Linked DNA regions of Nothobranchius furzeri. Each later gene encodes a partner of the first gene's protein in a complex. Links are inferred from orthologs where the notes say so. Each region holds a gene or a part of one and is shown in the gene's direction. Other genes may lie near its edges. The genes, in order: lrrc7 and camk2a.

What was found.
Region 2: the proteins of lrrc7 (region 1) and camk2a are in contact, whole or in part, in a crystal structure (PDB 6X5G), measured with the Homo sapiens proteins. The link is inferred for Nothobranchius furzeri from reciprocal best matches to the Homo sapiens genes LRRC7 and CAMK2A. Residues at the interface, in NP_001357714.1 of Homo sapiens: His843, Gly844, Arg845, Arg846, Pro847, Leu848, Ile849, Arg850, Gln851, Asp852, Arg853, Ile854, Val855; in NP_001350919.1 of Homo sapiens: Glu96, Phe98, Glu99, Ile101, Val102, Lys137, Glu139, Leu159, Phe173, Ala174, Gly175, Thr176, Pro177, Gly178, Tyr179, Leu180, Ile205, Gly209, Tyr210, Pro211, Pro212, Phe213, Trp214, Tyr222, Gln224, Pro233, Glu236.

The regions. Positions count from the first base shown.
Region 1 is NC_091748.1:71,482,798-71,490,448, forward strand, and holds part of lrrc7 (leucine-rich repeat-containing protein 7), read left to right. Parts: intron 1-54; coding exon 55-154; intron 155-455; coding exon 456-580; intron 581-1,640; coding exon 1,641-1,859; intron 1,860-2,041; coding exon 2,042-2,164; intron 2,165-2,344; coding exon 2,345-2,456; intron 2,457-3,723; coding exon 3,724-3,937; intron 3,938-5,427; coding exon 5,428-5,931; intron 5,932-6,460; coding exon 6,461-6,685; intron 6,686-6,760; coding exon 6,761-6,977; intron 6,978-7,069; coding exon 7,070-7,423; intron 7,424-7,588; coding exon 7,589-7,651.
Region 2 is NC_091750.1:27,047,482-27,055,132, forward strand, and holds part of camk2a (calcium/calmodulin-dependent protein kinase type II subunit alpha), read left to right. Parts: intron 1-2,927; exon of another isoform or gene 2,928-3,071; intron 3,072-3,154; exon of another isoform or gene 3,155-3,319; coding exon 3,320-3,360; exon of another isoform or gene 3,361-3,480; coding exon 3,481-3,529; exon of another isoform or gene 3,530-3,575; intron 3,576-3,674; coding exon 3,675-3,750; intron 3,751-4,765; coding exon 4,766-4,860; intron 4,861-5,069; coding exon 5,070-5,298; intron 5,299-7,651. UniProt on the Homo sapiens protein: Calcium/calmodulin-dependent protein kinase that functions autonomously after Ca(2+)/calmodulin-binding and autophosphorylation, and is involved in various processes, such as synaptic plasticity, neurotransmitter release and long-term potentiation.

The DNA.
Region 1 (7,651 bases):
ACTTTCAAAATTTAGCGCCTTGCTAATATTTTTAATGTGTGTGTCTGCTTTCAGTCCAAGGCTCTGATCCCACTGCAGACAGAAGCCCATCCAGAAACCAAACAGAAGGTCTTGACCAACTACATGTTTCCTCAACAGCCACGGCACGATGAGGGTACATACTGTGTGTGTGTGTGTGTGTGTGTGTGTGTGTGTGTGTGTGTGTGTGTGAGAGAGAGAGAGAGAGAGAGAGAGAGAGAGAGAGAGAGAGAAAGAAAGAGATTCAGCGTATGAATCTTGTTTTAGGACATTTAGAAAAGGTCACAGCATGTTTTGAGTTGGTTTGATTACACTTAGGTATGCTGTGTGTTGTTATACGCTCCATGTGGACCAGCAGACACGTGTACCTGACAGTTTACTGCAGTAGAAGTACAAGCCTGATCATTAATCGCTGCTATGTTCTTGTATGTGTTCAGATTACCAGTCAGACAGTGACAGCTTTAATCCTACACTGTGGGAGGAGCAAAGGCAGCAGAGGATGACTGTCGCCTTTGATTTTGAGGACAAGAAAGATGAAGAAGACAACTCTGGGAAAGTCAAGGTCAGACCTTCGTCACTTTAACTCAATGAGTATTACGTAAAGCCAGTAGTATTGTACAATAAGAAGTATGAGTCTGATACTGTAGTCAGTTGTTGAAGCGAAATGTGCGAAGCAGATGGTTAAAAGAGATATGTGTAAGAATTCTACAGTGAAACAATCACAAAATACTCTAACGTCTCAATCATGCAAGAAGGAAGGTTACACTGAAACAGATTTCATTGTCAGCCGGCTGGGGATTGTCAGATTTTCTCCTTTCAAAATGGCCAAAAGGGCGTAGTTTACTGTGTCAGTGAGTTTGGAGAGGTTGCTGAGTCTGCGTCAAGCTAACGCAGCAGCGCCAACATTTGCAATTTAACACCAGCAGGCAAAAAAGCTCAAGAGTTGTTTAAAGATCCAAAGCCAGTAAACAGAAGCGACCCAGAAATTATGTTTTGTTTTTGTTTTACTCTAATATTGGGTGAACGTTGAGCTAACCGCGCTAACGGTGAATTAGAATAGAATAAAATAGACTTTATTGACCCCCACAGTGGCGAAATTCACTTGTTAAAATAAATAGTCAGATCTAAAATATCACAAGCTAATTTTTTAATTGCCAACATGTTGATATCCCAGTGAAATGTATGTGTGAAGTGAATGATTAGTCAATCGTGGCACTTTACTTCCTGTAATGAGTCGTTCAGCAAGCTAACAGCAAGATGGCATATAACTACACCTCCTCTGATGCTGGAGGCATATTACTGTAATAGGTAAGCGCTCCCTAACCCTAACCCACCCGAGAGTGCTAACTCCATATACGACAATCTGTTTATCTACTTATCTACTGACTGTGTATGACTCGTCTTCACTTGTCATCTAGAATCTTCTGGCATTGATCCATAACTGGCAACAACCATCAAACTCACTGAACGACAGAGAGAAAGTAACTTTTTGTTTAGAAAAATGGATTGCAGTAACCACATTTGACCACAGAATGTCAATCTTACTTCGTTCTTACATATTGCACCTTTAAAACAACAAAATAGATAAACTAATCTGGATTTTTCACGTTTTTTCATTGAAGGTTGAAATAAACTTGAAGCGCTACCCGACCCCCTACCCCGAGGACCTCAAGAACATGGTTAAGTCGGTGCAAAGTCTCGTGGGTAAAGGCGGACATCCTGGCCATGCGCACCAGCACCAGCTGAGCACGGGCAGTGCCACCTCAGCAGGAACCAACATGGAGCATACGCACCTCAGCAAAGAGCCATATGAACCACCATGGCCCCTGCCTCCCAAAGAGGTAAAAATAAAAGATACTCAGGCAGTAAACCACTCAAAGAAAAAAGAGACTGAGCACTGGTCAGAATGAAAATAACATTTACAAGGAAGGAGACAAACACCTTTAACCAGACTTAGCTAGGAACTTAGTTAGATTTGAGCCAAAAACGTGACTTAATGTGAAAAAATAAACTGTTTTATCAGGTGACGGACAGAGAGATGCAGGACTTCTCTCAGTCCCAGCTGATGGATCAGGGATCGATGCATAACTCTGGCATCGACATTCCCAAGAGGAAGGACAAAGAGGATTTAACAGAGAGCTCGGAGGTTTGTCATAAACACAAAAACACACTTAAAGAACACAAACATGATTTCTGCATGCAGAGTGGTTTTTATGCAGGATTTTTGTTACCCTAGGATGTCAATCTCACCATATCACTTGTAAGTCACTTTGGACAAAAGCGTCTGCTAAATACATAAACATAAACATCTCTTTCCCCCCTATAGGACTCCATGGGTGGTTCTCCCAACGACATCCGTATCTCGGACATGAGACCCACTCTGGTGGAGCCGCCCATGTACAAACCAAAGGTGGTGCTGCTGGGGAAGGATAAGAAAGGTACGATATTATGTTGTGCCTCACAAAGAGACACACAGAGAGAAAGTGCTAAGAACCTCTGCAGTAATTGTAAGCTTCTGCCTACTAGAAGCAGCGTTTAGTTCATCCTGCTTCGCTTATTCTGCCCTGAAGGCTTCAGTTTCATCTGAGGAAAACAAAGCTCATCTTAATGCCTCATCAAAACTCTGTTTTAGCGTTAAATAATTTAATGCTTTAATCGCATCGTCTGAGATCACATCTTAAACTCTGGATCAAAAAAAAAGCTTTAATCAATCTGCTTTTTCTCCAGGGAACAAGTTGTAAAATAATTTACGTAGCGTGTCTTTTGGTGGGTTTAAATTATTAATGCAAATGCTGCTTTGATACTGTTGATTAATACAAAAGGAAAAATAAAGATGCGACACTCTGTGATCTCTGCAGCCCGTAACTGTTCTACATCACTGATTGAAACACCTTTTTCGTGTGGTTTGTTATTTATTAGCAGTGACTAATAGAAATTTAAACTTTTGATCATCCCTTTTTAATGTTTATTGTAGTTTGTAATCATTGAATTTTTGTTCTTGATTTCTAAAAAGTGTCCTTGTGATTTTTGTCTTGAGAGGCGTTATTAAAAGATGGTTTCTTCTTTTTCTTCTACTTTACTTATTTTATTTATTTATCTTTATTTTGAACACAAAAAAAATTAAATAAAAAGTACAACAACGTAGAATTCAAAGAGACAAATAATTACCTCAAAACAAACAGAAAAAGAAAACGAGCAGTCACAACTAATACTTCATGCAAAAATGTAAACGATGGTTGATTTGCTATCTGTGTCGGCACGGAGAATTTAGCTGGAGGAGAAAGTACACAAAAAAGTCAGATATGGGTCGCATGTGGGGGAAAAAGTGGATTTGATGTGCTGTCTGCAGTATGAACGTAGCCTTCACTTGTCATAATTACACACGTCAGGCTTTAAAGGTTGATTCACCATGTATATCATATTTTTTCTCTTTGTTCCATGGACGTCTTAAACTTGAAAATAATCCAAATTATCATTGTTGCTAAATTATATTTCATGATTTGTTCAGGAAAAACGCCTCAATTTGCCTTTTCAAGCAGAAGTTGCTCGTTTTGTATTTCTTAAAAAGACAAAAAGTAAAAAAGCTTGGAGAGGTATCTTTTTATCTGTATTCTTGTCAGCTCAAGAGCAAGAGGCTGTTAGAGTGAAGATGTGACATTTTCAGTGAATATCAGCATTTGTCCTTCTGCGTCTGTCTCCGTCCAGAGTCCACAGACGAGGACGTAGATAAACTCCACTGTCTGAACCACAGCGGCTCCTCTGCAACCTACTCGGACTACTCTCCCTCACAAGGCTCCTCTGGCTCCTCCAATCCGTCTGCAAACACACACTCACACACACATTCTCACCCCCACACACACACTCCTGCCCTGCCGCCTCCCAGTAAGGACCAGGTCCCCCAGTCACACTGGACCAACAGGTACACACACTTTCTAACCATTTGGGTTTCCTTCCAACCATCTGTGTCATCTTCTTCTTTAGTTCAAATCCGTCACGTATCTCATCCCCCTATCCAGTCGCTATCCGTCTTTCCTTCCCTCCATCTCTGTGTACCCTCCTCATCTCTCTGTTTGCTCCATCAAGATCAGAGAGGCTCATTAGGATGCTGCAGACGTGCATTCAGGATGTTTTTTTCTCACCTCGTTTCTCCTCAGATTCAGACAAGCAATTATTTTTATTGTGAGATTATTTTACTATAATTACTTTATGGTACTTTTGTTCAAGTCGTTATTCTGGTTGTAGTGGACCTGGAGCTAAAAAACACGTGATAATAAAACATGTTTTTAATCCATCTTCTATTAGAAATGTCACAACAAAAATCAGCAAAATATTAATACTAGCTTGCATACCACATTTATTACATTATCACCTAAATCGTTTCAAATAAATTTGATTCAGGTTGTGATTTATGACAGACAAGTATTTTTCAGTATCAACACATGGGAATGCACATACTCTTGGTAAATATGTTTACTTCTCCCTCACTTCCAATGCCTCTGGGGCTCTGTGTGCTCTGAGGAACCCCTGCAGAGGGACATGTCTTTTTGGTATTTTTTGACATTTGTTTTGTTATTTCACATGCCCTGGGGTACGCACATGACAGTCGGTGCACTATATTCCTTTTTTTCAGGGGCTGCATCCTTGCAAAACATTGCATTTGACGCAGAAATGGAGTTTGAATACTTTGGGAAATGTTATTTTTGTTTTCAGACATATATAGGAATGTCCAATATCAGCTTTTTTTACCAATATTTGATATAGACCAACTCTTAATTTCCGACACCCATATATAATATCAGTAGGCCCATAATCCACCAAATGTTACTGGCCCTTACACACTAGCATCGGCTCCACTCTGCCTGGACCAGTATGGGAGTGTTCTCCTTTAGGCGGCCTTGGAATTTCCCACCTGCAACCGGACGTCTTTTCAGCCCTCTTCCTGAGGAGATCTGCCTGGAGCCAAACTGGCCCAACACGCCCACTGCTGACTGATTGGCCAGCTCAAAGCACACCTACCATTAGGGGAAGCCTCCGATTGGCAGAAAGAATCAGCCCGCAGATGTGAGAGTCTCCAAAAGCAAGACTGCTCAGGCAACTTTTGTTTAATAATGGAGATACTGCAGACTTCTCTGCGCTCGTTTGCCCCGCCTACATGTGCTTGTGACATCACAGACCACATACTGCCCATGTACTCAATCACGCCCACGTTGCTAAGGTAGTGTGGAACGAACGCAGCCGGGCTGGGGCAGGCGGAGCGGAGTGGATGCTAGTGTGTAAGTGGCATTAGTTGGTTGGTAGGCATGCAGTTCTCATCTCCCTTTGACGCACATCATAATACTCGTTAATGTAGCACAGCATTTTTAACAATCTTCACTGTATGATTAGCTGTTATTTCTCCCATCTTTGTAGACTTGCCCAGTCATTTCCCAAACCCATTGACTCCAAGCCCCTGCTTTCTCAGAGGGAAACCCCTCCATCAGGGACCCTACAGCAACGTGGAGACCGCCGTCCACTCAGCGAGCCTTTTGACTGGGCTGAGGCCCCTCACTATGATAACACAGGGTTTGACGCGGAAGAGTCTCCTCTGGACCCCCCATCTAATACCAGCCAGGGAAACCCTCCACTGGGCTCCAAACCCCGCAGCCAGTCGGCCCATGGACGCCGCCCTCTCCTCAGGCAAGATCGAATTGTAGGAGTCCCCCTGGAGCTGGACACCCAGACACTCTCCTATCATGGTAACCAACGTTCTAATCCGGACAGTGATCCACAGTCCTCTGGGCCTCATTCCCAGAACCCCTGGCAGAATTGGACTAGGACCCCAAGCCCGCTGGAAGATAGGACTGCTTTCCCTTCAAAGTTGGACCTAACCCCAACGTCAAGCCCCAACCCCGATCGGAAGGACATGGACTCAAGGTAAGGAACAGGAAATCAGACGGTTTTAACTCGGAAAATTGTTTGTATTGCTTCATTAGTCATTTTTTGCATTATTTGAATGAGTAACTATGAAGTTATTAAATTATTACTTAAAAAATTGCAGGGCATTTTATTTTTGTTTGTTACGTGTATAGCGAAGACTAATTTGTTTATTTTCTATTTCATCCAATATCCAAATCGGTTGGATTTAAATCCACTTAGAAAGATACAGTGGGGGGGGGGGCGTGATCCTGCATCCTGCCAACAAGGTTTTGGATCAAGCGACAGTCACTCTGCTCCTGGGAAACACCTGCCCAAATATTTGGAGTCTTGCACAGAAATGTTCAACTGGTCCAACAAATACATACAGTGGAATATAACTGCCTAACTTACTGAGATCATTTCACCGCAATCACACAGCTTCATTAGCATCTGTATTTTACTACTGCAATTCTAATATAGCTTTTTCAATTATTATTAGTTAATCCATTAACCGCCTCATTGACTTGTCTCATGTATTTGCTGCAAGGCTGGATCCAGGTTCAGGGCCTTTGCCCGGAAGCTGGACATATCACAACAATCAGGGAGATCAGAACAGGAAAGATCAGCTCACTGTCGGCGGGGGCAACAAGGTAACTGTTGTGATGAGTAAAAGCTCAGACCGCCTGTCCCCCATGATGAAGGAGACAAGATCCAAGTTCAAGAAGTCTCAGAGCATAGATGAGATCGATATTGGCTCCTACAAAGTCTACAGGTATGATTTGACCTAGTTTTTTAAAGCAAGTTTTTTTTGTGTGGTTGGACCGTAAATGGTTTTCTCTCTTTGCAGTATTCCCATGGAAAGCTATAGTTCATCCATTGAGCAGCAGACTAGCTTGGACCGCTCCGAGCTCCCTGGCTCTATGGAACAGACCAGCATGTCACGATCTCAGTCTGCCCCCATGTTAGATGATGAGATGATCTTTCCAGGACATGGAGCCAACCACAATCCAAAGCCTGCCATTCCCCAAAAGGCCTATCACTTTGACCAAAACTACAACCCACAGGTCAGGCAGTTTCTCTCTTTTATGAATTCTGATTATTATTATTATTACAATTAAATGAAATAATCTTCATTTAAAATTTTTTACCCAATCAGGTGACCATGGATCGTCGAGTCCCTCCCCCGTTTCCCAACACACCAGATTACGTTAACCATTCATCAAAGGTTATGGACTACTTGAATCAACCAGGAAAGACACTGCCCAAAGAGCTAGTAAGCCCGCGGTATCGGGCATACCCGCCACTGGAGATGTTTTCTTTCCCTCAAACACCAATCAGTCAAGACGGCCCACCCAGCCAGCAGCATCAAACAATCTCAACGCAGCGCTCCAGGCCAGGGTTTCTGAGGAGAGCCGATTCTCTGGTGAGCTCTACGGAGCTCGCTTTGTTCCGCAGAGTTCATGAAGCCCAGCAGGAGGCGCTGCTACAGGAAGCTCAATACAAACAGCAGGTGGGGGGGGCATATCAACTAGGCTCATTAATTGACTAATGCATGTGCTAAAAAAGCTACTTGTTGAAAATCAAACCAGTCACTTTTTAAATCTGGAGCTCTCATATATCTTCTTAGTTTCATTGCATGGCCTGATGAAACCTTTGCCCCTTTTTACTCTCTCAGTCAGACCCCCCGCATTATAGTCGTGCTCTTGCCTATTCCTCCCCCATGGACCACTCTGCACTC
Region 2 (7,651 bases), on another chromosome or scaffold:
GCTACAAGACACCTCCCGTGTGGCCTTGCTCAGCTAGCTAAACACGCCTCGGTAGAACATGAACATTAGAACCGATTGGAACGCGTCTTGGCGGCTCCTGATGACGTATCTCCTAGGCAAGACATCAAGGCAAGGTTCCTTGACATTGAGAAACACCCCAGCTGTACTGCTTTAGCTGTAGCCTAGCATGAAACACAGTAGGTGAATAGATCCAAATAGCATTGTGAGTAAAAACATCCTTAAAATCACTCGGCAGTGATCGCAGTTCTGCTTGGTGACCTAAATAATCAGTAGGACTGTAGGTGAAAATAAATAGTAACAAAGTAATCACAGGCACCATTTTAAACTTGGGACTACTTAATGACAAAGTACAGCAATTCAATTCAGGTTTTTTCCTATAACACCAAATCAGGACAAGAGTTGTCTCAAGGACCTTCACACAGTAAAATGTTTTCTGTATAAGGATCCCAGCAGGTTGTATCAAGTCACTGACTAGTGTCAGAGTCTTTACAGCAATCCTCATACTAAGCATGCATGCAGTGACAGTAGAGAGGAAAACCCCCTTTTAACAGGAAGAAACCTTCAGAGAATCCTGGCTCAGTATAAGCAGCCATCCACCATGACTCGTACACACACACGCGCGCGCGCACACACACACACACACACTCTCTAACCACGGACTCAAATGTTAATGTGATCATGAGCTGATGTGAAGCAGGCAGAGAAAAACTCTGAGGTAGATAAACGTGACCTCTTGCCGACAGCCAGACAACGATAGTATGACGTGGCAGATCCAATCAGTGAGCTTGTGGGCAGGTCTGAGGGATGTAGGGTTTAGGACTTGAGTCCTTTAAGAGCTCAATATATATATATTACCTCTACTTATGACCAATAAGCTGTGATACTCTATCTAAATAGAGAATATCAACCTCCTTAGTCTTTACTGTGTTAATCAGAAGATTCTAGGATTCGTTGTTTATTGGGGGATTGTAAACACTTTGTTTTGATTTTGAAAAGAGTCACGTTTATAAAAGTAAGAATTTATTTTACCAACAAGTAAAACATGACAAGTTAACTAACATTTACTGTGATGGATGGAGCTAGATGTGAATGCAATGTTGTCAGAACTTCCGTGTCTAGGAGAGCTGAGTTCTGGATGTAAAAGAATTTGGGTTTGCGTTAAGCTATGAAGTTGATTATTATCAAAAGCACATCAGACGCTATCTGTGTGTCTACTTCACCCGTTCTCGGAGACCCTCTTGGTGGATCCAAAGGTCAGAGAGGTCAGATGACCTCTGGCACCGAAGGGCTGTAGAATACCGTGGCACCAACCCTTCAGTCCAGAGATGTCTCGGGTCATGACAGATGGATGGAACCGCGCGTCTGGGACTCTTAAGGAGTCTGAACAATATCAGCTTGTTCTGCAGGAACTGTTTTGCTGTATCAGCTTCGCAGGTGCAAAAAGATTTTGATGACATGTCAAAAGCTTTAATGGGTTAAAGAGGGTCTTGCTTCAGATGGCCGGTCTGAAGCTTTCTCTAGAACTGCTGAATCACCAGAGTGGTGAATCACCAGAGTGGTCCAGTTTTAATGTTCTCATGTTATGATTTGTGTAGCCAACCAGAGGTTGGCATGTTGAGGAAAATTACCAAGACAACTCAGAAACACCTTCCTTGATCCAGAGGCTCTGATCTGGGGTAAAGGCTATCTATGTGTCATGAGTTTAACTTAACCTTACTTTGTTCTTGTGTGAGTGCAAGTGGTGATGACCTCGTCATATTAACATGCTGAAACATATTTCAATCACTGTAATCATAACATAACATTCATTTCAAACTTCAGTTATTGAGCACAGATTAATGAAACATTTCATTATATTATAATTATTATAAGTAGCAATAAACAAACATTTATTTAATGATTATCTAGCTTATAAGTTAGAAGTTCATATTTAACTTAGGAAATCATTATTTGATTTAGCAACTGATTCGAGCCGCGAGTGTTAGGCATGAAGAATCCTGTAGGACGATAAGGATGCACCTTGAGGAGAGAACATTATTGTTGACATTTCGTTATCATGTGTTCAGAGCTGCAGAGAGGCTCTGAGCTCCAGCTGGTTGGATGAAGGCAGGCCAATTTAAAGGGAACACATGCAGTCTTGTGTCTCCTTTTGGACCGGATGTTGAATGGTCAAACAGTACCTACAAACTGACCATTGCTGGACGTTACAGGGAAAATAGGCTTCAGCTGGAGGCCTTCTACACGGTCCTAGTGCCTGACCTGTGGGACAGCTGTGGATGGTTTAAACAGACGGAGACAGAAAAAAGGGCGTTTTGGGCACTTGGAACAAATGCCCCCCCCCCCCCCCCCCACACACACACACACACACACACACACACACACACACACACATGCCTGTGTGAATCTGCAGGGCGTGGCAGCTGCTGCTCACGCACATAAATAGCAGAATGCCAAACCTGCTCTGCCAATCATCTGCAGCCATTTGCACATGCTCAGTAGAGTAACAGAGGTTTGTGACCTCAATTCAATTCAAGTTTATTTATAAAGCACCGAATCAGGACCAGAGTGGTCTCCGGGACCTTCACACAGTAAACAACACAGGTCAGGTCAGGTCATTAAGCCAATCAGTAGCAAGTTTCCAATGTGAGGAACCCATTAGGTCGCATCGAGTCACTGACTAGTGTCAGAGTCTTTACAGCTAAGTGATGTTTCCCTGAGCATCTGGCACAGGTGTGGCAAGGACAGCAGGTGTAATGCTGCTACCAGCTAAGATCTTCACCAGAACCAGAACCTGAGTGTGTGTGCTCCAGCTAGCTCCAGCAGCTTGTCTGACTGTACGAAGTCAACAATACAAAGTTTTCCATTTCTGAAAGAGAGATTATTGTTCACACAATGTCTCTGTAGACCTGGAGGACTGGGAGGTCCCGGTGGGACGCTCAGGAATGTGTGCACGCTTTCTGCTCTGCTGCCGTCTCAAGTTCATCCTAAATTTGGCCTCAGCTCTCAGCGTGGCCCACGTGTCGTGTGAAGAGCTCGCTTGGCCCGTCAGACTGGAGACAGGAAACACAGTCACTAGCCCTGAACCTAAAACAGTTCGCCGTTCTTTTTTATTCTCCAAAATTTAAATTGTCACCTGTGAGCTGCTGCTGGTTGTATTGCCCTCTTAGGACAGCAGGTTTGCCAAAAGGAACATTGGCAGCAGCTGTCTGTACGATGCCGTTGCTGCTCTTCTCTGCATTTGTTCCTTTCTTCCTCACTTTGGTTCTTCTGTGTCTCTTTGTTTTCATCCCTTGTTCAGGAGGGAAGAGTGGCAGCAACAAGAAGGCAGACGGAGTGAAGGTAACACTGCAGCTGTCAGCAGGTGGCGGGTTCAAACACCAGACACACCTGTAGAATGCATGAACCCAACAGAACCAGAACCAGAGCAGGGCTGATGCCTGACCGTTTCTGTGCTTGCAGGAATCGTCTGAAAGCACCAACACCACCATCGAGGATGAAGATACCAGAGGTGAACACCAGCCGATCCACTGACCTGCTGCTGCAATGCTCCAGAGAGTCTAATGTGTGTGTGTGTGTGTGTGTGTGTGTGTGTGTGTGTGTGTGTGTGTGTGTGTGTGTGTGTGTGTGTGTGTGTGTGTGTGTGTGTGATTCAGTGAGAAAGCAGGACATCATTAAAGTCACAGAGCAGCTCATCGAGGCCATCAGCAACGGCGACTTTGAAAGCTACACGTATGTAACATTCAACCATCTTTGTTTGTTTGTTTGTTTGTTGACTTTGAAGTGAACCTCAGATCGACTACAGGACAATTGTGCTGTGAGGTGAGATCAGTGCATTCATCACAAAAGAAAAGTCCTTTTTTGTCGCTCAGTGGCGACTTTTAGGTGTAAGAACCAAAAGCTGCTCGGTAAAAAAGTTTAGATGAAAAATATTTTTTAACATCAATTTTGCCAAGTTATGAAAAATCCTGTGTTATAAACTCTAACAGGATGTCTACAGGGAGTGGGAACATGAATGAACGCACACACACACACACACACACACACACACACACACACACACACACACACACACACACACACACACACACCAAATGAAAGGACCAGTGATTGTGAACATTAACAGGAGAGCAGACCTGGTCCTTGAAGGCCACAGTGGGTGCATGTTTTCTATGTGTCCCTGCTCTTAGAGCAGCAAAGCCTTCTGCTAACAAGTTTCTGCTCCCCTGAGAAGAGACAAAGACTGAGACATGTCAGCTACATGTCCCAGGCTTGTCCTCAGCTCTGAGGACAGAGACAGACGGAGGACATCAGGTGATGGGGAGCTGGTCTGGGCGTCTCCCACAGAAAGACTTTAGTGAGCAGGTGTCATTTCCCACATTCTGGTGCTTTTAACGGGTTCTTTTGTTATATTTAAATGATTGTTTTTAAATGAAAAACTTAAAACTGAGCTTTAAAAACGAACTAAACCCAAGGCCGGATTAACCATATGGGCCCCTGGGCAATATATATATATTTTTTTTAATTCATTTATATATATATTTTTGGAACTGTGAACCTAGTTTATGAAATAGAAATGAACTTGTTAATTTTAAAATGTATGAACTGAACTTTCCCACCTTTATAAAACAGTTGGTCTTTAATTAGGTGGAACCATAAAATAAAAGTTTTGTGGTTTCAGAGAATTCTTCCCATATCCCTGGTGGGTTACTTCCTGTCGGCAACCTTCTATCTTGTCTCTCCTCAGTAAGATGTGCGACCCGGCTGTGACAGCCTTCGAACCTGAGGCTTTGGGGAACTTGGTGGAAGGACTGGACTTCCATCGCTTTTACTTTGAAAACTGTGAGTAGAAATTGGTTTTAGAGCTTCCTCTCATTAGAGCGATTTACTCTGGTAACCTGTGTGTGTGTGTGTGTGTGTGTGTGTGTGTGTGTGTGTGTGTGTGTGTGTGTGTGTGTGTGTGTGTGTGTGTGTGTGTGTGTGTGTGTGTGTGTGTGTGTGTGTGTGTGTGTGTGTGTGTGTGTGTGTGTGTGTGTGTGGTGGGAGGGCAGTGTGGTCCAAAAACAGTAAACCAGTCCACACCACCATCCTGAACCCCCACATCCACCTGGTGGGTGACGAGGCCGCCTGCATTGCTTACATCAGAGTGACTCAGTACATCGACTCCAACGGCACTCCTCGGACCGCCCAATCAGAGGAGACCCGGGTGTGGCACCGCCGCGATGGCAAGTGGCAAATTGTCCACTTCCATCGCTCAGGCTCTCCCTCCACCCTCAACAAGTAAGATCAGCACCCACGGGCCAGACCCTCAGACCTCTGTTGATGCGATGAGACATGTTTGTAAAACCCACTGTCCTTGCTGCCATGAGGGCCGCCGCCCCACATCTATATAAACAAGCTATCTAACAAAAGTGAATGAGACCAGAACCACCTCTCATGCTGGAGGAGCAGCGGCTCTGCCCTCATTCACGCCGGCTGTGGGGCGGAGCAGCAGAGTCTTTCCACTTGGTTGCAGCTTTTTCCAGATGCCACTTGTGGATCTTCATGAAGTTAAGGAAATGACATGAGCCAGACAGGAAGTGACATGATGCAGATGCACCAAAGTGTACCTGGTTCATTTCAAAACAAAAGCCGTGTTGCATCATTAATGAAAGGAATATCAGTTCGCAGTGTGTGATAGTACGAGCAGACGAGTGTGGCTTTTGTTTTCGGGCGCCTCTCTACACGTAGCTGTTGTCACATGAACCCGTGCACACACGATTCCCAGTTGGTGTGAAGGGCAGCATGTCCAGAAGCCACAGATATTCTGATCAGCATCAGTTCTACTTAAATTAGGCTTGAGCCCCTCCCAGAAATAAGAGCTTATAGCAACCTGATTGGGGAAGGGTGGGCGTGGCCAACTCCAGCTTGTATTCTTAAAGTGGCTGAGCCCTGAAACTGCTCATGCTGGAAGGTCCTGAAGCTGTCAAGAATCCGTTTTCTGAAATCCTTTTGAGTGGGATGGATTCAACGCAAAAAAACTTCCCTGGTTCTCGAGAGCCGCTATCCACCATGTTTTAGTTGTTTCCTTTCTCCAACATACTTGATTCATCTTTTCAGCAGCTCATTAAGCTCCGCAGAAGCCTGTTAATCAACTGCCATGGATGAATGGTCACAGGCGTAACTTGAATCTGAGAAACATAAAAGTAGATAACAATTCTCTGAAAGGTAACCAGTGAAAGTCAGACATTTCTTTTCAACAGAATTATTAAAACAAACTCATGAAACAGGCCTGGACAAAAATGATGGTACCCCTAGGAATGACCAAAGGAACGTGTTATTCAAGGCATCATCACAGGTGTCTATAATCTTCTAGTAGCACGGAAGGGCCTTGAGTGTCTGTTAGTGCAAGTATCGTCTTTCTTATCTTTGTACTATCTGCCATTCGGAAAGAGGAAGAAACCCATCTGTGGGTAACCCTGTTGTGTAGTAGCTCCGGTTGGGCCAGCTAAGAGTAATCAGGGGCTGTGAATGAGTCACTCATCAGGACTTCATCAGGACCATAGCCAACACAGTAACCAACTCCCCTAAAGCCGGGCGGACACTGTGTGACTTTTTCACTCATAGCACTCACATTCAGCTCAAACTGCACGACTTTCCCGCAGTTCCAGGACTCTAGAAGGTGCTGTATCAAATACAGGCCATTTACCATTCTACTCATGTAGACAGGTTGTCATCCATTGGCATTTCCCATAATGTACTCAGCTGATTTCACTCATGTCTCTCTGGTCGTTCTCAGTTCATACAACTCAACTCTCCAGTTATTAGAGGTGTGCCCCAGGGCCCTGTCCGGGGGCCACTTGTCTTTATTATTTACCTTCTTCCTTTAGGTCCCATATTTAACATTCAGTTCCACTGCTTTGTGAATGACACGCAGCTCTAGTAAGTAAGTAAATGTTATTTCTATAGCACTCATCACAGACATAGAACCACAAAGTGCTTCACATAGATTAATTAATATTCAAGCTCCATCGTACATCAGTGACCTGGTTGTTCCATACGTTCCTAACCTAGCACTTCGCTCTCAGACTGCAGGTTTACTGGTGGTTCCCAGAGAGGTGTATGTCGCACAGAGGTTCCCTGTTAAAGACACAATCACACATAAATAAGTTTCACTGGAGTTTGGTTAGACTCTCAACGCCTGCTTGTTAGCCAAGCCGTCTCTTTTTCTACCTCACAGTCTGTCGCTAAAGCTCCGTTTTTATTGGTCATCAACAGAGGTTAAATTTACCATACAGATCACTGATTGGCTATGCGATCACCACAATGACATCACTTCCAGTTGACACTAAATCCATTATATCAAAACAAAGCACATATTTGTAGTAAACATAACACCAGAGCACATAATACCAGTTCTAACACCCACATGCTCTGAGGTAGTTGCTTGTCAACACTTATTTAACATTTCATGCCAAACATGAAATGGTCAAGCCTTTCCAACTTCAGTGCGGTAGCGAGCTTTTTCATCATGTGTTACCATTTGTTCAGTTGGACAATAGTTCAAACTCACTTTGCCCTTTTTTACAGTTGATCTGACAAAATGATATTTTATATAAACATGTTTGCACCTCTGTCTCTTTACTGGGTGCTT